Canis lupus familiaris: one gene and its partner. The protein of the gene in region 2 interacts with the protein of the main gene of each other region in a biochemical or structural test. Links are inferred from orthologs where the notes say so. Each region holds a gene or a part of one and is shown on either strand. Other genes may lie near its edges.

The links.
Region 1: the proteins of CACNA1A (region 2) and voltage-dependent L-type calcium channel subunit beta-4 form a complex in vitro, tested with the Homo sapiens proteins (2 studies listed by BioGRID). The link is inferred for Canis lupus familiaris from reciprocal best matches to the Homo sapiens genes CACNA1A and CACNB4.

Annotation. Positions count from the first base shown.
Region 1 is NC_049240.1:54,792,282-54,804,407, forward strand, and holds the start of voltage-dependent L-type calcium channel subunit beta-4, read right to left. Parts: upstream 7,501-12,126; 5' UTR 7,041-7,500; intron 6,205-7,040; 5' UTR 5,676-6,204; coding exon 5,553-5,675; intron 4,665-5,552; coding exon 4,545-4,664; intron 3,256-4,544; coding exon 3,133-3,255; intron 1,694-3,132; exon of another isoform or gene 1,608-1,693; intron 1-1,607. UniProt on the Homo sapiens protein: The beta subunit of voltage-dependent calcium channels contributes to the function of the calcium channel by increasing peak calcium current, shifting the voltage dependencies of activation and inactivation, modulating G protein inhibition and controlling the alpha-1 subunit membrane targeting.
Region 2 is NC_049241.1:49,353,089-49,364,529, forward strand, and holds part of CACNA1A (voltage-dependent P/Q-type calcium channel subunit alpha-1A), read left to right. Parts: intron 1-1,975; coding exon 1,976-2,093; intron 2,094-2,240; coding exon 2,241-2,308; intron 2,309-5,505; coding exon 5,506-5,612; intron 5,613-7,308; coding exon 7,309-8,124; intron 8,125-11,441.

The DNA of each region.
Region 1 (12,126 bases), on a different chromosome or scaffold from region 2:
GTTCCCCACTCCTCACTCGCCACGGCTGGTGGCTTCCTCCTCGGGGACACTCCTCCCCTGCTGCCCATGCATCGCTCCGCCCTGGTTTTCCCCGCGTATCTCGGGCTCCTCCTGCTCCGCTTCCTTGTCTGTGAGGCCATTCACGTGGACCACCTGTGCAGGACGCAATCCCTTCAGATTTGCCGTCAGGCTGCCTTCTCTCCTCCCGCTCCTCCCTCTCTAGGGGACTTGGATCATCATCACAGCTCTAAACGCCACACGTCAACTAATGACCTGAACTGACACCTTTGGCCCAACCTTTCCCCCAAGTTCCAGATTCGTACGTCGAGCTTCCACTTGACACGTCCTTTGAGATGTCCCCTCCCCAGCGGGCCCCTCCGTCCCCACCTCAGGCGTCTGCATCCCGGTTGCTCAGGTCACAAACCTCGACCTCCTTGACCACACACGCGTTCTCCCGCACCTTAGGCTCGTCCCCTGCTCCATCACCAGCTCTCCTCGCCGAATGCCGGCCACACACCTCCGGCCTCCAATCTGTCTACCTCTTTCCCTCTCGCTGCTGCCACGCGGGCTCAGTGCCACGGTCTCTCACCGAGAATGGTGCTAACGGTCTCCCTGGCTCCACACTGACCCGCCCTACCCAACCCCCCCATCCATCGCGGTCTCTACGATAATCAGAACAGCTTAAAAAAAATAAATAAATTCATCCCACTCCTTTGTTTTTAAAGTCTTCGGCGGCTTCTTACCACAAATAGAATAAAATGTCTCATTGCACATGGTGCCTCCTCTCCCTAGAAGGCTCCTCTTGCTCTCCTTGAGGTTGGCTCCCCTTCGGCTGTCAGGTCGCATCATCCAAAAGGCCTTCTCTGGTCACCCCCGTATTTAACAGGATATGTGACGTTCTCATCCCTCTACTTCAAATTTTTGAGCATCTGCTTCATTTCCTCCCCCCCCCCAAAGCATTCACGGTTTGGAATCATTTGTTTATGATCTGTCTCCCCACTGGATTGACGTCCACGAGGAACTGGAATCTGTCTGCTTTGCTGACAACACCTGCCAGGGCCGGGCACGGGCTAAAGGCTCAAGAACGAGACCTTGAATGAGAACCGGAGCAAAGGGACAGTGTAGACAGAGCCCCAGCCAGCTCACACGGCCACGGCGCAGACACCCAGAGGTCGGACCTGCTTGCCACCAAAGCGTCAGAACTCTGTACGTCTCGGTGTCACTAGCGCCATCGCAGAATGCAGAGCTTCAGAGACAACGATTTTCAGAGCAGTCATACATTCACCGCGTGCAGCTCGTTTAGGACCGGCGGGCGGGGTGGCAGGTGCAGGTGTCCCAGCGATGTGGAGTGGTCGCCGTATGTCGATCACATGCCTCAGGTGTCCCTTTACTGTCCCCCTCTCTTTTTCCTAAAACCGGTTTCCGTCGCCTCCGTCCTCGCAGAGCCACCGGCAAGTAGGGACGCCGTCCGCCCTCTGCCGTCCGCCGTCCGCCCCCCGGCCCCATCGGGAAGCCCCGGGCAGAAGGAGGCGGGAGGACCGCGCCCCTCCTCGGCCTCGTTCCTCAGGCCGCCTCCCAGACGCTGTCCCTCCCCTCTCCGCCGGCACCTCACGCAATCAGCGGTGGTTTCTCCCTCCAACGTGTCCCTGGGCTCAACGTCTCCGCGTGGCTAACAGGCTGAAATCCTTCCTACCTTAAAAAAATAAAGACGCAAATAAAAATTTAAAGACACTCCCTCGATTCTATAACTGACCTTTTTTTTTTTTTTTCTGGCTACGATGCACTCTCCTTTTCAACTCAAAGCTTTTAGGGAGAGCAAACCGCTCTTCCTGTCCTCTGGCCCCCAGATTATGCGGGTAGAGGCCCATCGGGGCTTCACGAGGCTCTCATGCCCCGGACACGTGGCTCCTAAAGCCTAAGTCCTGCGCACACGCTCCCTGCAACAAGGCGTCCCTCTACCTTCCTTATTCTGCCCCCGCGCCCCCTCCGTCCGTCCGAGCACACCCTCCCTTCTTTATTTGGAAAACCCGCACGGCCTCTGCCCTCCGAGGGAGCTCCACGGCTGGCCGTTCTCCATCGTCCTGTTTCACTGCCTCCGCCCTCGCTGCCCGTGTGCAATCTCCCGGCCGCGTCCGGGCGCCCTTCACTGCCCTCCCGCCTCGGCAGCCCCCTGGGCCCCTGCTATGCTAATACAAGGCCGGCTGCACCTGCCCACGCGTAAAACCCCTCCCCAGCCCGCTGCCGGCTCATGAGGCCCAGGCTCGTTCGCAGGCCACCCTCCGCGCCCTGGCCCGTCCCCTGTGCGGCTCCCTCCCCCTCGCACTGCCCTCCAGCCCCCGCGGCCGCCCAGCCTGAACCCCCCAGGCCCAGCCCTTCCCAGAGCTCCCGGGCCCCTGATCCTCCTCCCCCAGGCCAGGTGGTCCCCCAATACCCCTGCCTTTTTACTATGATGGAATTTATCACCCTGAGCAGACACCAGGCACCTGCCAGTCTCTTCCACCCGAGACCCGTGGGAACCGTGTGCCGTCATCTCTGATCTCGCAGCGCCCGGCACCACGTCCGAGATGAAGTAGGATTTCTAAATGAACGTTTTTGAGGCCATGATCCCACCTCTCGGGGTGCAAGGCCTCAAGTCCTCCCCGTGCTGCTCACTCCCTTAAGCTTCCTGGTTCCCGAAGTCCTCTGCCCTCTTCTTGACTTAACACTTCGATGGTTATGCTCCGTGTTGGTTCCACGGTCAAGGTCCGCGGGTTACGGCACAGACGTCTATAGCTACAATATCCCCTGTGAACGGTCCCTCAGGGGTGGGCGCCAGGCCACCAATTCCGGTTTCCCTAAGTTGGGTCCCTAGGTCTGTGCGGGCACACAGGGGCTTGAAAGGTGACCAGGGGACCACGGATCCGTCCTAACCCCCTCCTATGACGACCCCCTCCTATGATCCAATGTGACCATGCAAGCGACGTTCTCGGTCCCCTAAACCTCACTGACAACGAATGGATCTGGAAAGCCCCGAAATTAAGTGAGGTGACCCAGCGGCATCTGCCCCGGGCTCCGCTCGGCTGTGTTTGGTTCAGAGCCGGCTCCGGCCCTCGCCTCCCGGAGCTCGGGGGACGCACAGAGTCCTACGTTTACCTCTTTAATGTGGAGAAAGTCCTTGGCATCAAAGGAAATGGCTGTGCTCGGGACGGGCACATCCTCATCCAACGCGCCGCAGTAGCTCACGTTCGTCTTCACAGCGAATGCCACGGGCTTGGACTGGGGACAGAAGCAGGGCGTGAGGACGGGGCAGGAAGGGGAGCCACTCCACGTCCCTGGCAGCCTGGACAAATCCCCCGCGAGGACTCGAAAAGGGATTCCTCGCCATCAGCCCGACCGCCTTCCCCGTCCTGCGCTACCCGCCAGGCGCCCCCCACCGAGGACCTGCCCTAACATCCTGGGGGGCGATGGGAGGACAGGGGGGTGGGGAGGCTCTCTTCTTGGCCCTCCACTCCTAAAACTGATTTTTGTCACTTTAAAGGGTGATAGATGCCCCTTGGGACACAGGAAATGTGGGCTAGGCCTTAAATTAAAAGGAGGTGGGAGTAAAATCAATTTTTTAAAAAATTTTTTGAAGTAGCCTCAGGTCTGAAAACCCCTGTGGAATCCCCCTTAGTGGAGTGATCGCCTTGTCCTGCCCGGAAAGAGGAAGGCCAGTCAGGGGTAGACAGAAGGCCCGGCGTCCCCTCCAAGCCAGCGGGAGCTGGTTCTGATGCCTCCTAGGCCAAGTCCCCCCGCAGAGGCTCCCGGCGGACGCGGCCCCTCGGCTGCGGGTCCCTGCAAAAGCCACTAGACGGCCTGCGAGGAAGCGGACCCAAGCCGTGGCCACGAGGGAGGGCGCAGGTTCCTGGGATCCCGGGCCCCTGCCCGGCCGGCCCCGCACCCCTCCAGCCAAGCCAGTGGACAGACGGGCCCCGGCAGACGCCCCGGACAGCGTCGCCCTCCTCCCACAGCTCTCAGAGAGCCTTTACTGTAAAAACAGAAGAAAGGAAGGGATTCGTATTATTTGAGCCTCCGTTTTTCCTCCGGAGGTCAGGCTGCATCAGTGCGCCCTGGACGCGTGTCACCGGGGGCAAGGGAGACCGGCGGGCCACAGCCTCAGTCTCGTTTTGCATAAAATCTGATGCAAAATGACATCAGACAGAGGGAGTCCAGGCTAAAAACAAAAACAAAAAAAAAACCCGCTTGGAAGGCACAGAACGGGGATCCCGGGTGACTCCTCTCAGATCCAGAGCGGCAGCTTGCCCCGTTGCCTCCCGTGGGCACAGAGATGCGGGGGCCGTGCCCTCTGCACAGGCGAGGCCTCGGGGCCGTGGCTGCCCACGGACAAGCTCTGCACCCACGGGGGGGGGGGTGCAGCGGGCAGCGGTGCCGGGGGACACAGGTGCGGGGCCCGGGCCTCGGTGGGGGCCCAGCCGCTCGGCCCGAGCCTGGCCAGCAGGTGCAGGCGGGGCCGGGGCAGCACCTGCGGGCGCTGCGCTGCGGAGCTAGCGAGGCTGGACAGTCACCTTGGCTCTCTCCAGCTGGATGGCGGCCTGCTGCTCCCTCTCCTGCCGAATCGCCTCCCGGTCCTCTTCCAGAGACACATCGGAGTCGGACGGCCTGCTGGTGTAGGAATCCGCTGAGCCCTGCAAGGGAACACCCAGAGCCGTTTACACCGAGGGCCGCGGCCTCCCCGTCGCGCGGCTCGCCCCTGCCGTCGGGCTCCGGGCACACGCTCACCGCGGCCGCGGGCGCATGGTCACGCCGACGCCCCAGGCCTCCCAGGGACCCGGGAGGTGGCCGGGCCACTGGTCAAGGGCCAGGAGCTGAGCGGCAGCGAACACGGCGCCGACCCCGCGCCCAGGTCTTGATGTTCTGGGCCCCCCGCGCGCCCAGCCGTAGTCCCGGTCTCCTGCTCACGCACGCGGGAGGGAACAAGGCCCTCAGCCCACGAGACGCGTCCGGTTGTGCCCACAGCTTGGGCTACAGAGGACGGCTCTACCCGAGATGTCCACGCCGCAACGCGGAGCCCTGCGGCCGTCATCGCGTCCCCCGAGCCGCTGTTCACACCGTCGAACCCACTGTGACAACCTCAGGCCCCGGGGGGCTCGGAAGGCGGCGTGTCCGACTCGCGGTCTCGACTCGGGCCATATTCTCAGGGTTGTGAGCTCCGTGCAGGGCGTGGAGCTGCTTAGAGTGTCCCGCCCGCCGTCCCTCCCAGCTCCCCAACACAGCAAGCTCCAGTCACCGTCCCACGGGAGTCACACCCGGTCCCCGCGGCCACCACGCGTGAGCCTTCGGGATGAACACAAGGCTGTCCTCGATGGCAGCACACAGCCCGAGACGCTACCTGAGCCACCCCGGCGTCCAGCCTCATGGACGTGGCCAAGGTGCTGGGGCCGCCCAGCGTCACTCACTGCTCACGGCACAAGAGGACGTGAAAACTACAGCAGCTACTTAAAAAGTCAAAAAAAAAAAAATCCTTTAGGTTTGCCTCCCGGTTGCTAAGGAAACATCGCCCTTGCCGTCCTTACGCTGCCGTTACAGGTTGGTGTCTGCGCAGACGATGACACTCGCACGGCACAGCTCTCGACAGACCCGCTGTACCCGGCGGGTTCCAGAAACACGCACAGATTCTGGAAAGCGGAGATGTCCATGTAGCTGAGAACCTGCTACCCGCTGCACACACCGAAGCGCCCTAGGCATGGTGGCCGCCGAAACGGATCCTTTCAAGCTTCTCCTAAGCTCGGAAATGTCGGGCTTAGCGCAGATTTTCCCGGCGCCCGAGGACAGCAACCCCTGCTTAGAGGTCTCATCAGAATGCCCGACAGAGGCTGGTTCTGGATCCTGCCTCTGCAACTCACTCTGGAAAACCGCGCGGGCTGCCCTGGCCACTCCAGGCTCCGCCGCTCCCTGCACACAAGCGGACGCCGCTTACTTGGAAGACGCGAACGGAGTAAGACGTGACGAGCAGCTAACCCCCCCGCACCGGGGCCAGCACACGGCTCGCTGCCTTGACGCCTTGCCCCCGAAGCCCTGGAACAGTGCGGAAGCCATGGGCTGACTGGGCAGAGCCCTCCACCGAGCTGCTCTCATGCTCCAACACCTCCTCCAGGATGCGGCACGTGGCAAGCGCAGACTAAACGGCCATTCTCTTCCCCGTCTCCTAGTCCTGACACACCTACGCTGGGTTAAAAGAAATCAACAGATGCTAATCATTTTTTCAACTCATTTATAATATACGTGCACAATAGCCCATCTCGGAAAGTCTCCATTTTTCTTGACGTATTTGTTGCCAAAAAACCCCAATGCTTCCCCCCAATGCTTTACTGTGATGTAATTGGCGTAGGACATCATGTAAGTTCCAGGTGTATGATTTGCTGAGACGATGCATTTATTTTTTTTTTAATTTTTTTTTTTATTTACTTATGATAGTCACAGAGAGAGAGAGAGACAGAGGCAGAGACATAGGCAGAGGGAGAAGCAGGCCTCATGCACCGGGAGTCCGATGTGGGATTCGATCCCGGGTCTCCAGGATCGCGCCCTGGGCCAAAGGCAGGTGCTAAACCGCTGCGCCACCCAGGGATCCCAGACGATGCATTTATAAGTTGCAAAATGATCACACCTGTGGTAACTGCAATGTGCCCAAACCCAGGCCCTTGATGCAGTGCTTTTGGGGCACGTGGGGGGCTCAGGGGGTGAGCATCTGCCTTCAGCTCAGGGCGTGACCCTGGGGGCCTGGGATCGAGTCTCGTGTTGGGCTCCCTGCATGGAGCCTGCTTCTCCCTCTGCCTGTGTCTCTGCTTCTCTCTCTGTGTCTCTCATGAATAAATAAAATAATTTTAAAAAAAAGGAAAAGAAAAGAAAGTGCCCTTTATAGGGTAAATGGATTTGTCAAGCAAATCATAACCAAATTCCTCTGTGCAGAAGTGCTTGGGGAAAATCTGGATGTACAAGATGGATCGGAACAGGGTGACCGACTATTCTGGAGACCCCTCATTGCTAGAAAAAAAGAAAGCTACCTTGAAGTCCTTTAAATGGGTTCTCTTGGAACACATCTTTTGTCCAAATTTAGGCGGACCTGCAAAAAATCCAGGGTAAGAGAGAAAGAAAACAGTGTCTCTAAAATGCTACATATGAGAGCCGGTCGGAGCTAGCTGGAGGTGCCGCCCCGCTGACGGGTGGCACGTGCCGTCCATCATTTTAAGCTCCTGGACTGGCTGCGTGACGATGCCTGGGCCGCCTCGGGATCGTGCTGCGCGGAGTCAGGAAGGAGGCACCTGCCGCGTGCTGAGACCGTGTGCTGGGGAGGCCGGTGGCCGCAGCCCAGGAGCGGGCAGGCTGCCTGCTGGAGCCGCGAGCGGGCGACCGCCACAGGCCGCCGGGGACTCGGGGCACGGCTCACCCCCAAACCACCGTGACGACTCCTCATCCCGGCATCCCCTCACCTCTGGGCACGCAGGAGGCGACTCAAAGGGCTCCTGCAAATGAACTCGATTTTGAAATGGGAACAAGACTGTGAAAATTTCAAAATTACGTAATGAGCTCTACTATTGCCAAATGTGTGAAAGCAGAAGCTTCTGTTTACTTCCCTGTTTCTAAGAATATTGGTAGAGGGAAAGCTAAAGCACCAGGACGTTCGATATTCGTTTTCATAATCACGGCGTTACATCATTTCCACATTTACTCTGGTTTTTCTCCTCCCTCTCCTCCTCCTCCTCCCCCTCCTCCTACCCCCCTCCTCCCCCTCCTCCTTCTCCCTCTCCTCCTTTTCCCCTTCCTCCTCTTCCTCCTTCTTCTCCTCCCCCTCCTCCTCCCCCTCCCTCTCCTCCTCCTCCCCCTCCTCCTCCTCTCCCCATCCTCTTCCCCCTCCTCCTCTTCTTCCCCCTCTTCCTCCTCCTCCTTCTCTGCCTCCTCCTCCTTCCCTTTCTCCTCCAAGTCCTTCTCTCCCTCCTTCCTCTCCTCCTCCTCCTCCTTCTACTCCTCCCTTCTCCTCCTCCCCGTCCTTTTCCCCTTCCTCCTCCCCTTCCCCCCTCCTCCTCCTCCCCCTCCTCGTCCTCCTCCCCTCCTGCTCCTCCTCTCCCCTGTCCCCCTCCCCCTCCTCCTTCTCCCCCTCCTCCCCCTTCTCCCCCTCTTCCTTCTCCCCCTCCTCCTTCTCCTCTGCCTCCTCCTCCTCCCCATCCTCCTCCGCCTCCTCCTCCTCCTCCCCCTGTCCCCCTCCCCCTCCTCCCTCTCCTCCTCCCCCCTCCCATCCCCCTCCCCCCTCCTCCTCCGCCTCCTCCTCCTCTCCCTCCTCCCCCTCTTCCTTCTCCCCCTCCCCCCTCCTCCTCCACCTCCTCCTCCTCTCCCTCCTCCCCCTCCGCCTCCTCCCCCTCCTCCCCCCTGTCCCCCTCTCCCTCCTCCCATCCCCTTTCCCCTTCTCCTCCTGCTCCCCCTCCTCCTTCTCCCCTCCTCCTCCTCCCCCTCCTCCTCCTCTCCTTGTCTCCCTCCTCCTCCCCCCTCCCATCCCCCTCCCCCTCCCCTTCCTCCCTCTCCCCATCCTCCTCCTCCCTCTTCTCCTCCCCCCCCTCCTCCTTCTTTTTTCAATGCCATCTACCTTTCTTTGAATAGGGAAGTCACCGCTGCTGAGCCTCAGGGTCCTAGGGAAAACAGAGGTTCACCATCAAGAGCCCAAATTCGGCCCGTGGACGAGTTCCGCTGGCTTGGCACAGCAGTGGTTTCTTGTTTTTATTTATTTGTTTGGTTTTGTTTCAACTGCGTGAAAGAGGGGCCAGATATAGCCCAGGAGAAAGATGGAGAAGAAAACAGGAAGCCCCTGGGTTATGTACCAAGGCTCAGAGAGAAGGACCACAAGAGCCACAGAGCGGTGGAGGAGACGACCGCCGGGGCCAGACCAAGGAAGGCTCTGGAAGGGGAGGGGCTGCCGCGGGCTCGGTACAACCAAGGGCTGTGGCGGGAGCTGGTTACACATTCCTGATCAGGCGCAGGGAACTGGCAAGACGGCGACACTGAGGACACCACGAGGACGTAGGTGCACACGTAAAGGTCACTGGCAGGGGCAAAGCTGGAAGACGCGGCCCCGTTAGCTTTCCGTTTTCCAGAATTCCCCTTCATAAAAGTTGGCAAAGCGTGGGCTAGCCGGCCCACCGGGGGAGCCGAGCCTGCGCGAAAGGCACAGAGAAGCCAGCCCAGGGGTTCCCACGCAGACCCGGGACAAACCAGAGCTTGGGGCGCCAACGAGCCAACGACCCCAGGAGCGAACGGAAGCAGGTCTCTCCTTCAAGATGCTGCTGTAGGTGGACACGTGCACATGCGCACGCCCATGGACATGCATGGACACCATTTAGAGGCCGTAACATAACGCATAGTAGCGAACGCCCAAGAAACGGGCTCCCGGGTGGCTGCGTCCGGGTGTCGGCTCAGGTCACGGCCTGGGGTCCTGAGCGCCCGCCCTGCACCGGCTCTGTGCTCACCAGGGAGTCTGCTTGAGGGTCCTCTCCACCCCCGCCCCCGCCGTTGCCCTTCTCCCCTGCTCATTCTCTAAAATAAATCTTGAAAAAAAGAAAGAAAGAAGAAAGAAAGAAAGAAAGAAAGAAAGAAAGAAAGAAAGAAAGAAAGAAAGAAGAAAGAAAGAAAGAAAGAAAGAAAGAAAGAAAGAAAGAAAGAAAGAAAGAAAGAAATGCCTATCTTTCCATTAACATAAGGCTCAAGACTCTTTCTCTGCCTTTTTTTCAATATTGAAAACAGATTTAAGCCTTTTCACGAATCTCGAGCACCAAAGACAAAACACTGATAGAAACACTGGAGCATCAGTTTACTGTTGTTGTGGAGGAAGGAAAGTGGCCTCAAGTCAAATAACGGAAGGGCCCCCCATTCCCAGAGAGGGGGCCCGGCGCCGGGGAGGAGGCACCCACGGGCTGCACTTGACGCCCTTGCCGGGTCCTACCGGCCGCACATCTTGGGCAACGGATTCAACGTTCTGAGCGTCCACGTCCTCCCCCGCGGACGGGGATGATGATACACACCCTGGCGCGCCTCCCGTGCTTGGGTGGAGAGGGAACGCCCCTCCTTCTGCCACCATTAGGGAGATGCAGGCAACGCCAGCAACTAATCTTCGACTCACTCAAGCTCTGCACCTTGTTGGCAGTACAGCTTTGGCTGCCCCGGGGTTTCAGGATCTACAGCTTGTTCTTTTGTTCATTTATTATTTAAAAAAAAAAAAAAACAGTGTTACTGAGGCATGATTTATATTCATACATTTAAAATGTACAATTCAATGATTTTAAGATTTTATTTATTTATTCATGAGAGACACAGAGAGAGGCAGAGACACAGGCAGAGGGAGAAGCAGGCTCCCTGCAGGGAGCCCGATGCGGGACTCGATCCCGGGACCCCAGGATCACGCCCTGGGCCGAAGGCAGGTGCTCAACCGCTGAGCCCCCCAGGCGTTCCCTAACTCAATGATTTTTAATAAGCTTCCAGAACATGATCTATACCACAATCCAATACAAGAGCCCTTCCGCCACCTTCGAAGAGTCCTGAGCCCCCTGCAGCCCCTCCCGGACCCCCCCTACCCGCGCCGTGAGACCCAGGCACCCGCCCACTCGTGGATCTTGTCCTTTCCACACTGGAATACATTTTCCCTTCTTATGAAGGATTTTAGTATTTGTATCTCATTATTCTACTCTACTGTTTGTGTTTTATTACTGTGCTTTGCGCGTATTTTAGGGTCATGTCATGGAAGAGTAAAGGGGAGGGAGACTTGACGAGCGTGTGACACTAAAATGTGTTCACGGCCACTGCCGGAGCTTCCAGCATCAGGCCAGACGGGGCGGCTCAGCCGGGTGGCTCAGCCGGGTGGTCACCTATTGCCACGTGCGGGCCCCGCGGCCGCTGCGGAGGGAACACGCCTCACCTGCTGAGATCTTTCCCCGCAGAACGGCAGTGAAACCCTTCTGGGTCGTTCTGTTGAACTAACAAGACGCCAGAGTGCAAGACGGTGCACGAGTGCACCCGAGGGCCCGGAGCACCCCCAGCTCGGCGCCGCCGGCCCCCGGGGATGGAGCCCTCCAAGCGACGAGGGCCACGAGGAACTGCCTTTCTCGTTTGACTTTTAAATGCTTAAAATTTCATTTTCCTTCACTTTTTACGATAAATAAAATAATTCATTTTATTATTACAGAAAATGATACTTTAAATAATAATAATGCGGAGTCAGACAACCACCCCCCCCCCCCCCCCCCCCCCCCCCCCCCGCCGAGGGGCCACCGCAGCGAGCTGCACCGGAGCCGACGCTTGCACCGGAGCCGACGTTCCAAGCGTCGGTTTCACTGCCGGATCAGACAAGTGAAAGTCCGCCTTGGTGAAAACGCGGAGTTTAAGTAGCTGCACTAACCTGGACTAAGTGATGATCAAGCGCCCGGAGAAACGTATCGCTCCCAACAGATTGAGGCTCGGTGTCCCCACCGAGCTTGCCATGACTTGGGCCATGCACCTTTCTGCTCTGCCTTTCTTGGTTATTTCCCCAGATTTCCCCAGCAGATGGGGAAATAGCAACCACCCACAAGGTTGCCCTAAGCACAAAGGCCCCTCGGCACCCTTAATATCTACGATCCGGCCCTGCCTTCCTGCAGGTACCTTCTTCTCCTTTGCCCTCGTCCCCGGACATACCTGGAGCTCTTTGCTCGGCCACCCAGCCTGGCAGGGAGCCGCTGTCTCCGAGGACACGGGTGCCCAGCGCCAGCTCAGCTTTCTTCAGAGAAAGACATGCCTGCTCCCGTCAACATCTTTTTTTTTTTTTTTTTTTTTTTTTTTTGCTCCATGATTTTAAGTTCCAGGAAGGTTGGTTAGCTGCCCAGGGTTCATGCTTACTGGGTGCGATGGTGCATTCCTGGCACTGTGGCTGAGCAGGGAACTTTTGAAACCGAACCTTAGAGACGACGTTTAACTTTGCCTTAAGGTGCCTTGCGCCGTTTCTTGTAATTAGGAGGCTGGGCGCTGGACAGAAGACCAGGAGGTCAACCCTGGCCATTAATCTAGGCTTCACCTGGGGGCTTCGAACAGCAGCCAAGGGCAGCAGAGCAGTGTGCTCAGAAAAGGCCATAAAGG
Region 2 (11,441 bases):
TGACTGCCCCTCCCCCTGGGGGGCTTCCTTGAATCCCTCTTTCTCTACTTTACCTTACCCTCCTGTTTTAAAATATAGGTTTTATCATTATTCAGATTTGGTGAGGCCAACAGATCAGTAGATAACTGCCATTGGGAGCTGTTATAAGATAGTTTATTGTACTTGCAGATTCCAAGAGAGGGAGTACAGGGCTCACCACACAGGGCCATACGAGGGAAGCAGCTGGGTGGGTCAGGAGGCAGAGGGAGGGGGGACGTGAGCACAAGCCTTTAACTGTGGTTTCTGCAGAAAGGATTGGAGAGGAAGGGTAAACAGATTTAGAATTGGCTCGTTTGAATGATTTCAGTGAGCTCTGGGCATAGGGGCCGTCTCAGGTTGGCTGGTCCCTGCCCTGGAGTCACTGGGGCAGGGGGTTGTTGGCTCTGAGTGTAAGAGCCCAGCCCAGATAGAGGAAGTGGTTTGGGAGTGTGGGCTCTGTATTGGTTGATTTGCATTTGACAAGCGTGCTTACTCCCCAGCAAGTTGTGTTTACTCTGTAGGAAGTAGGTAGCCCTGACTCCCTCTTGGGTCAGCAAGGATCTCCCCACCACCACCACCAAATGTCAAAGCATCAGAATCCAGGAAATAAAAGACATGATTCCTACACGCACCCTCCCCAGGTTGGCAGGCACCCCGATCCCACATTCTAAAGCAAATAGACCCTGGGTGGTCTTCCTAAACCAGCCCTTGCACCTATGTGGACATATGCCCTGAGGTTTGGGACTGACCTAGCTGTGACCACCAGAGCCTTTCTCGTGGGTTCTGTCTCTTTGGGGTGAGGGGAACAAGAGAGTGTATGGAAAATGTGACTTCACTCCCTCCCCCTCCTGGGAGGGTAATTTCTCAATGAGACCCCTAGACCAGGGTTGGAAAGGGAAACCATCCATGAAGTTTCAGCCCCCACATACATGATTGCCAAGAGTTGTAATCACCAGCCATGTATCTTCATCACAGGGGGTTTTGTCCAAGAGGGATTCTATCCCCCAAGGACGATTGGAAGTTCTAAAAACATTACTGGTGGCCACAGCTCTGGGGGAGGCGTGCTATAGGCATCTGGTGGGTGGGGGCCAGGGCTGCTGCTCAACCCCCCACAGTGCACAGGACGGCCCCACCAGAGAGAATGACCTGGCCCCAAATGTCAGCAGTGTTGAGGCTGAGAAACCTGCATTAACAGATTGACATTTTTTGGAGTTATTTCACATTTACTTTATCCTTGTGAAAATATTACAAAGGAGGGAAGCTGGATTTTTTTTTCAGTGAGCACGCCTGTCCCCTCAGTCCATCCCATAAGCATCAGGGCAACTTGCATTTGCCAGCACCTGCATCCCTGTGCCTGACAGGCTCTCCGATCACTAGCTCCCACCCTGCCTCCAGGCACAGCCGTCCAGAAGGACTAGTGATTATGTGGCTTAAGCAGCAGAGCTCTGGAGGGCCCACAGGGCTGGTTCCTGGGAAGGACTCTCTTCCTGGTTTACAGATGGCCACCTCCTCACATGGCACAGAGAGAGACAGACAGACCCAAGTTCTCTGCTGTCTTTTCTTAGAAAGAAAAGCACTGATCCCATCTTGAGAGACCCACCAACGCGTGACCTCATCTAACCCATCCCCAAACACTGTCACATGGGGGTTCAGAGCTTCAATGAATTTAGGGGGCACAGCTTCATGTATAGCAAATCCCCTTATCACATCAGGGAAGACAGAGTTACAGAAAGATTTGTGACTCCCCCAGGGTCACCTTTTCCTAGAAGCCAGGCTGAGAATCCCTCTGTGCAGGGATGTCCCTTCCCACTCACAAACGGGCAAGACCCCCCCACCCGCCGCCCCAGAGACCAGGGCCCAGAAGAGCCACTGCGGGCAGGTTCCAGCTCTACAGCTGCGTCTCCACGGGGCCCGTGGCTGAGAGGGGTTGGCTGTGTGTTTCTCCGTCCCCTTTCAGATCCTGACGGGTGAAGACTGGAACGAGGTCATGTATGACGGTATCAAGTCTCAGGGGGGCGTGCAGGGCGGCATGGTGTTCTCCATCTACTTCATCGTGCTGACCCTCTTCGGGAACTGTATCCTCCGTGGGGAGGGTGGGGGGGCAGGCCTGGGTGGCCGGTGGAGCAGACTGGGGAGGGGGCGGGGGGCACAAGGGAGGATCCAGGAAGCCCCGGGAGCCAGGGTCCGAGTGGCTGTGCTTTCCCTGACTCCAGCGCCTGCAGACACCCTCCTGAACGTGTTCTTAGCCATCGCGGTGGATAATTTGGCCAACGCCCAGGAGCTCACCAAGGTGGGGTTGGTGGGAGAATGTTTCTCCCTGCGGCAAAGTTACCACCTGCCGGTGGCAGATCAGGACCAGGCTGGGTGTGGAGGGTGGGGGCAAGGTCTGGATGCCCCGGGCCCAGGAGGAGGCAGCTCCTCCCCCCGAAACAGACTGTCCCTGACCACAGCGGATTCCACGGCCGAGGAGGTGGGAGGGGGTGAGGCAGCGGGGCTGCCACACGAAACAGATGCCAGACTCCACTGGAGTGCCCATCTATAGGGAGTGGACAGCATCAAGGGACCTCCAAGGAGTGGTACAGCCCCCAGGCTAGCAGGCATTGTCACCATCCTAGAGCTGAAAGGATGGAGACAGATGGAGATTAACCCGTGCAGGGTCTCGAGGCTCAAGGCGCGGCCCCATCAGCTTGGGAGCTGGCCGGACTTCACCTCCAAGGGGCAGCAGTAGAGAATGAGATGATGCTCATGGGTGACAGGCCTTGCTGCCATCTCCCTTTTGCAGAAGGGGAAATTGAGGCTCAGAAAGGCAAAGTCACTGGTCCCAGATGGTATGATAATAGCAGCTACTATTTATAGCCTCTCCCGGTGCACCTTAGGCACTCAACACGGTTTTTGCTATACAGTAAGTGCTCAATAAAGGGAGCCTAGGGCTAGTTACTAGGTACAACTTGGCCCTAGGGCTTTCATTGGACAGAGCTGGTAAAAGGAAGGGAACCCAGGCCTGGCAAACTCCAGAACCCGAGTTCTTTACCCACTCACCCTGCGCCCTGCTGGTTTTCACTAGAGCCCCAGCTGAGCAGGAAAAGATACAAAGTAACAACCACAGCAGAAGAGACAGCACTTACTGTTCTCTCCCATTTCACAGGTGGGAAAGCTGAGGTCCAGAGAGGTTAAGTGACCTTGCCACATAGCTAGGGGCTAAAAGGGCAGAGATGTGAGCCCCTCAAAAGAGCAAAAGTGAGAGAAGAGCAGAGGAAGTCAGGAGAGAATTTGGGAGAGGGGGCTGAGAACCATCCATGGGAGGAGAAGTTATCACTCGTGTCAGTGATGTTGAATTACCCAGGCAAAATTTACAGTCAGATGCCCCTTAGAGCAGCCTTGGACTCCCTGGGACTCGGGTCGGGCTCAGCCAGGCACAGAGGAGGTAGCATTGCTTTTAGTAACACGGCTCACCCGCCCTGGGATAGCCCATAAGCAGGGCCGCTGAGAATGGTCATGCTGGTTGTGCACTGCGCAAAGGAAGCCGGGCACCTTTTTTGCAATTTGACAGGGGGGTATTGGAAAACCGCCCCATTGCATTAAGAGAACATGTGCAGAGTCTTCCTGTCGGCCCAGGAGGGCCACGCCTAGGGCATCCCTCTGCTTCTCGGCCCCATCTCCAGAGCCTCAAGGTGTCGAACTGAACTGAGCGGACGCTGCCAAACCTTCCATCTGCTGGCCCTGGCAGGAGGGAGAGAGAGTTTCCCGGGGCCCCACTCCGACTGGGGAGAAATGGAAGTCTCTGCTACCCCAAACACACGGCCCCAGGCCTGGTCACTGTGGAGCAGGCTGGCTCCAGGGGCTGATCCAACTGTGTGCTCATCCAAGATCCAGGAGCCCATCCTCAGAGGCTGTCACAGGGCAGAGGGTGCACCAGGAGGGGTGGGAGTAGCGGAGGGAGAGAGGCAGGATCATCTGCGAAGGATGGACATCCTCCTGCAGACCCAGATTATTTCCTTCATTTATTCTACAAGTATTTCTTAGGCATTTCATATGAGGCAGGGACCCTGCTAAACCCCTGGTGTGTTTTCATCTCCTTCAATCTTCACAGAAAGCAAGGAAGTAAGTTCTCTGAGCCCCACTTCACAGATTGTGTCATTCATCCAAAAAGCATTTATTGAGCACCTACTGTGAGCAGGACCTGGTCTAGGAGCCAAGTACAGGGCAGTGAGCAAAATAGGCAGAAATCTCTGCCCTCGTAAGGCTGACATTCGAACGAGAAAGATGACAAATTTGTCAGATGGGGAGAAGTGCTGGAGAGAAGAGCGAGAGAGAAAAAGTTGGGGAGAGTGAAAATTTTAGGTGAAGACGGTGAGGCCCTGAGACGTGGAGCGACTCACCTGACGTCAACGGTAAGCGGAGGAGCTGGGATTTAAAGCCAGGGGGATCCAGAACCTGTCCTCTTAGCCACGTGCACTGCTGCTCAAACTTGACCTGCTCTTGATAGTCTCCGGGGAGCTTATTGAAGATGCAAGCTCCAGGGCCCAGCCCAGGCTCTCCCACAGGCCTGGGAGTCTGTATTTGCAGGGCAGGTGAGGCAGGTGGTCCAGGGACTGGGCTCCGAGAAATGCAGGGTGAGGTGTCAGGAGGAAGGGAGGCCTTGTGAGAAGGGGTGGCAGGCCGGATCCCACCTCTGTGTTGTCACTGGCAGCGTGTCCTGATCTGACCATTTCCGAGGTGGTAAGGTTGCTGCTTGCCCCAGAGTTCCCCGCTCAGGGGGAGAGGTGCCCTGCCGTAGCATGGCTTTTCTTATTGGTGGGTTCATCTCTGGCCATTTCTTTCTCGTTGCTTTTTCTTTGCTTTTTCTTTGTTGGCTTTTCTGTTTTACGAATGAGGCCCTGCATGAAGGCTGAAGAAGGATTTAAAGCCCCAAAACATCTTTTTCTGTATGTATTTTTAAAACATCTTCCCCCACCCTCCTCCTCTCTGAACCTAACCGGCTGAGAATATAAGCTCCTCTCCCAATTCCCCTTCTGGAGGCTGTTGGCAGTGCACGGGATGGGCCATGGGATGCCAGTTTTTTCTGCATGTGGGGGCTAGTCAGGGTGTTTTTTTAAAAGGCCTGGTTCAGAGACCTTAACCCAGAAAGTAAAGTGAGAGGAAAATCTGCATTACTTTCCGGCTCACGGAGACAGGATGCAGAGAACTCTCCATTGTGGGAAAGGAAGGGAGTCTGGTTTTTTTCTTTTAGTTTCCTTCCAGTTGTGTGCTAAAATAGAGTTAACAAGGAGCTGGATATGGAGGCTGCGCGTAAAGGGGCTAGTAATGCACTTGACCCACGGTGGGCACCTATTCCCATCTGCCGGCCTTGGCTATGGTTGCTTGACCCACCCAGGCCACACCTGCTTCTGAGTGTTTCACATGTTGCCCCTCATTACTGTAGGGTCAGAGGTGAGGCCCCAAGGCCGAGTTCACGTTTTGTGAACAGGGACTCCATGTGTCTTTTAGGATGAGCAAGAAGAAGAAGAAGCAGCCAACCAGAAACTTGCTCTACAGAAAGCCAAGGAGGTAGCAGAAGTGAGTCCTCTGTCGGCGGCCAACATGTCCATAGCTGTGTAAGTGCCCCCAACTCCAGAATGCTATCCAGGCTCCTCAGCCTATACCCCCTCCTGGTCAACGATTCGGGGGCCAGGAGCAGTCCCTGACAGGGTTGAGGTACGTCTGTTCTCCCACCCCCTTTTACTTGATAAATAGTTAATAAGCACCTCCTATGTGTCAAGTATTGTTCTAGCTGCTGCAGAGACAGCATTAACAAGAGGTTAAGGGGTACAGGGAGAGCTAGGGCTTGGGAGAGTTGGGCTTTTAAATAAAGTTGTCAGGGAAGGCCTCACTGAGGTGATAAGACCTGAAGGAGGTGAAGGAGGAGCCAAGGGGGGATCTGAGGGAAGAGCATACCAGGCAGCAGGAACAGCATATGCAAAGGCCCTGAGGCTGGGATGTGCCTGTTGTATTTAGGGAACTGGAAGGAGGCCACTGTGACTGAAATAGAGGGAGGGAGGGAGGGAGGAAAGTGGGAGGAAGTAAAGACAGGTGACAAACATCGTTCAGGGCCTTGTGGGTCACGGGTGGGACTCAGACCTTTGCTCTGAGTCAAGTGGAAGCTATGGAAGGTTCTTGAGCACAGGTAGGACAAGACCTGACTTGGGTGCTCATGGGGGCTCTCTGGCAGCTGTCAGGGGAACAGACTGCAGGGAGCATGGGTGGAAGTCTGCGGACTAGGCTCCTGGAAGAAAAAACTTCTTTGGTCCATGCAGAAGGGATAATGGGACTGGAGTAGGGTGGTGGCCCTGGTGGTGGATGTAGCTGAATTCTAGACAGATCAGGAAGGTAGAGTGGACAGAGTCTGCTGGTGAAGCAGAGGCACTGAGGCGCTGAGTGAGATTAAGGTTAATGTGAGATCCATTGACACTGATACTCCGAATTGTGCCTGTGTCAGGTGTCCTGAGGATTTTGTACACTGTGGGGCAGTGCATCATGTGACGGTGGGGAAGGGGCTTTCTTTGCCAAAGTGGAAGGAGGTGGCTGTGAAAGGGGAGCCCGGGAAAACACATAATCAGACCAGTGACTTTAGCACAGTCTGTGGAAGACGATGGTCTGTATAAAACAATCAATGCACACAGAAACCCTGGAAAAGTCTGTATACTCCGGGCTGGGCTCCAACCTGGCCAGCTCTCCAGCAGCGGCCCTGTGGGTAAATAGGCACCAGTGGGTAAAGAGGTGCTGCCCCATGACTCCCAAGTGCCCACCCTGGCTCTCTTTGGGACCACCCAGACCTCTCGTACCCCAGAATTAAAGGGTCATGCAGGCCCCGTGGGTGATTCCAAAACTCGCTCCAGGCCAGTGTCCATGAGGATCGGCTGTCTCAGAGGTTAAAATATTTTGAACATCAGGGCAACACCTCCCAGGGGGTCATGTGCGACCATTGGTCATGTGCAACGGGAATGCCCACGAGGGCTGAGGACAGCCCCCCCCCCCCCATTAGACAAAATATGCAGTCAGAATGAGACACCTACCCAGGTCTAAGGCACTTGCTAGGCCAAGATGTCCAGCCAGGTTGAATTTTCTGCACAGGCTGAGACCAGGTTGGGAGGAGATACCCAGCCAGGCCAAGATACCCTCGTGGGCCGCGATGCCCAGTGAGCCAAGACCACCTGGGTGGAGACGCCCAGTGGGCAGAGACTCCCTGCAGGCGGAGGGGCCTGCGCAGGCCTGGCCCCGCGGTGCTCTAAGCCCTGCGCCCTTCCCTTGCAGGAAGGAGCAACAGAAGAACCAGAAGCCCACCAAGTCGGTGTGGGAGCAGCGCACGAGCGAGATGCGGAAGCAGAACCTGCTGGCCAGCCGGGAGGCCCTGTACAACGAGATGGACCCCGACGAGCGCTGGAAGGCCTCCTACGCCCGGCACCTGCGGCCGGACATGAAGACCCACCTGGACCGGCCTCTGGTGGTCGATCCCCAGGAGAACCGCAACAACAACACCAACAAGAGCCGGGCGGCCGAGCCCACGGTGGACCAGCGCCTCGGCCAGCAGCGCGCCGAGGACTTCCTCAGGAAACAGGCCCGCTACCACGACCGGGCCCGGGACCCCAGTGGCTCGGTGGGCCTGGACCCCCGCAGGCCCTGGGCGGGCAGCCAGGAGGCCGAGCTGAGCCGGGAGGGGCCGTACGGCCGCGAGTCGGACCACCACGCCCGGGAAGGCGGCGGGGAGCAGCCGGGCTTCTGGGAGGGCGAGGCGGAGCGGGCCAAGGCCGCGGACGCCCACCGCAGGCACGCGCACCGGCCGGCCGGCAGCCGGGAGAGCCGCAGCAGCTCGCCGCGCACGGGCGCCGACGGGGAGCCGCGCCGGCACCGGGCCCACCGCAGGCCGGCCGAGGAGGGCGCGGACGACAAGGCCGAGCGGAGGGCCCGGCACCGCGAGGGCAGCCGGCCGGCGCGGGGCGGCGAGGGCGACGGCGACGGGCCCGACGGCGGCGGCGGCGAGCGCAGGAGGCGGCACCGGCACGGGCCCCCGGCCTCGTACGAGGCGGACGCGCGGAGGGAGGACAGGGAGCGGCGGCACCGGAGGAGGAAGTAAGTGCGGGCGACCCCGGGCAGGGTGGGGACCGCAGCGGCTGCGATGCCGGGAGCCACGGTGGCGCCTCTGGGGCCTCTCGCGTCTCTCTGCCGCCCCCGCGCGGTAGATCCCGCTGTCGGGGGGAACCGCGCCGCGGAGCCGCGGGCCCCGGGTCAGCCGAGTCGGGCCGCCGGAGGCTGCAGGCGCACCATTTCGCCCTTGTGCGTCCGGGGGAAAATCTACGGGGAATCCACACCCGCCCACCCCCACCCCCCCCCAAGAATTCTTCAGCTCTTCCATGCACTTGCTGTGTGACCTTGGGCAAGGGACTTCACATCTCTGGGCCTCGGGTTTGTCGATCTGTAAAATGGAGATAGCGGGATCAAACTGGGTCATTGCTGGAGCTCCAACAGACAATTCATGCCGAAGGCCGGAAGAAGAGCGGCTGACACATAAGGGCTTGGTACATGTAGACCATTTTTAGCTGTTAATGAGTCAGCCATCTTTTTACCTGATGCTATTCCTGAGGGATTTAAAAAGCCACACTGGGCCCTCAGAATTGAAAGGAGAGCGGGGTTGAGGCCACTTCCAGGCCAGCACCGTATGCAGTAGGAAACAGCCTCCTTGTTTTCTTGGTATTTTGTGACAATCCTTCGATGGTTCTGTAGTGACTCTACATGTAGGAGCCCAACCATGTTGAAGCACACATTGGTCTTGTATTCGCTGATGTCCTGTTAGTCTTCTTTATATCACCACGAGGGCATCATATTGATTTCTTAATGATGTGTTTAAGAGCCTGTTATATGACCTAGGCGCTAGGCCAGCACTTACCAAAATTGAATGTGTATGTGAGTCCCTGGGGATCTTCTTAAAATATGGATTCAGTGGGTCTCAGGTACAGCCTGAGATTCTGCATTTCTAAGGAGCTTCCAGGTGAGACATGATGCTGGTCCAGGAACCACACTTTGAGTAGGGAGGCTCTGGAGGGCAGAGTGAAGTGACTCAGGGCCCAGTGTGCAGAATCACCATGAATGTGACAGCTACACATGCTGGCCGGCTCCCAGTGGTACAGGCAGTTAGGGTGACACAAGGGAGTTGCCACTAGTGTTGAGATTTTCCTAAGTGGATAATACCTCTTGGCAAAGTTCCATATGAAACAGAGTCTAGGCTTCCTTCAATATGGCCAGTAGTTGCATTCCGGGAAAACGGGGTGTGTATTTAAAACATACAAGGGGCACCTGGGTGGCTCAGTCGGTTGAGTGTACACCTCTTGGTTTCAGCTCTGGTCATGATCTTGGGGTTGTCAGATCTAGCTCCACATCAGGCTCTACACTCAACGCAGAGTCTACTGGAGATTCTCTTTCTCCCTCCCCCTCTGCCCCTTCCCGTACTTGCACATATGTGTTCTCTGAATAAATTAATTAAAATCTTAAAAAAAAAAAAACATGCAAGGGGAGCACCTGGGTGGCTCAGTCAGTTAAATGTTTGACTTCGGCTCAGGTCATGATCTCGGGGTCCTAGAATCAAGCCCCACATTGGAATCCCCACTCATTAGGGTGTCTGCTTCTCCCTCTCTCTCTGCCCCTCCTCCTGCTTGTGCTTCTCTCTCTCTCTCTCTCAAATGACTAAATAAAAATCTTAAATACAAGACATATGTTATGCTGATATATAGAACAGAGGTTAAAAACCAAAGACACAGGTCATTACAAGCAATTTTTCATCTGTGTAAGGGACATTAGTCACGAAGGAGAAAGGTTAATTCTTCCCCAGGTGGCCCTGCCCTGCACATGGTACGATGTTTTGTTTGCCTGCCTCCCATTTCCTAAATGCCCACAGTGGCCTCCAGGTGCTATGTCATTAGGTCTGCATGTGACTGCACAACAGCCTCCTGAAAACCATCACTCCAGATCATCCCCATGCTATCTCTTCTCTTAGGGGTTTATTCATCCATCCCATCAGTGTTTACTAAGTACTTACTACGGTCCTAGCTGGTGCGGTGGATTCAATCATTAACTGCAGGTGACAGGCATGCTAGGAGTGGTCTGGGGCTCTTGGAGAAATAAGACCAAGAAATTGTGCCCGGGCCGGGCTCCCAAAAGGAGCAATCTGAAAAGGGAGTCGAGTGTTCTAGGCTAAGAATAGCATGTGCAAAGGCCCTGAGGTAGACCAGAAGGAGGCCGGTGTGCAGTTTGGAAGGTGAGGAGAGAGTGGCAGAAAAAGAAATGGAAGGGACAGTGATGGGTCAGCAGGACCTCGAATCCTCTCAGGGCAAGGAGAGGCCACAGAAAGGATTTTTAGGTGGAATACAGCATTTAGAACATGACTGGATAATTAAGGACCAGTGATTCATTGATGCTGTTCTTCTCACTACTGCTAATATTAATATTATTGTCATCCTTGTTGTTATATTACTCCTGTGATTAAAGGAGGCCGAGTGATGGGGACGGAATGCAGCACAGCCTGCTGGTAAAGGGCAAGAACCCTGGAGCGAGAGATCACACTCATGCCCATCACTTCCCACCTGTGGGATTTGTAGCATCTCCCTTCCACTCTGTGGGCCTCTGTTGCTCATCTGTAGAGTGGGTATGAGAGCAGTACCTACCGCCTAGGTTCAAGTGAGTTAATACACATAAACTGCTTTGAATCGTGCCTGGCTTCTAATAAGTGCTCAGTAAATGTTAGCTGTTATCACTGTGAAGATTGTTACTACGTACGTACTCAATATATGCTAACTGTGTGTAGTAGTGGTAGTAGTAAGTGTTCAGAAATATTAGCTATTACTATTATTATTATCATTTATACTGTTAAGATTTTCTCATGGAGGTACCTGGGTGGCTCAGTTGGTTAAGAGTCCGACTCTTGGTTTCAGCTCAGGTCATAATCTCAGGGTTGTGACATTGAGTCCTGCATTGGGCTCCGTGCTCAGTGTGAAGTCGGCTCAGGATTCTTTCTGTCCCTCTCTCCCTCTGCCCCTCCCCCCACCTCTCTCCTTCCCTCTCTGAAAAAAAATATTTTTTTTTCTCTCGTCAACAGACCTAAAAACCTTTATATCCATAGCCTTTAGAATGACCACTCCAGCTCCTTCCTTTCACAGTTGGGGAAACTGAAGCCCAGAGATTTTTTTCCCCAAGGGCAGCTGGCCCATAGTAGCAGTGTGATAAGAATGCAGCTTTCCCGAATCCCACAGATGGCCCCTGCTCCCCCTCCTTTCCAGGGGAAGAAAGTACCTCTCCACTGCCACCCCCAGACCTGCACCAGGAGGGCACTGCTACTCCCTTTTTGATGTATGTGTCAGGGGCCCTAGCCAGGAGAGGCATTACACTCCTGACTTATA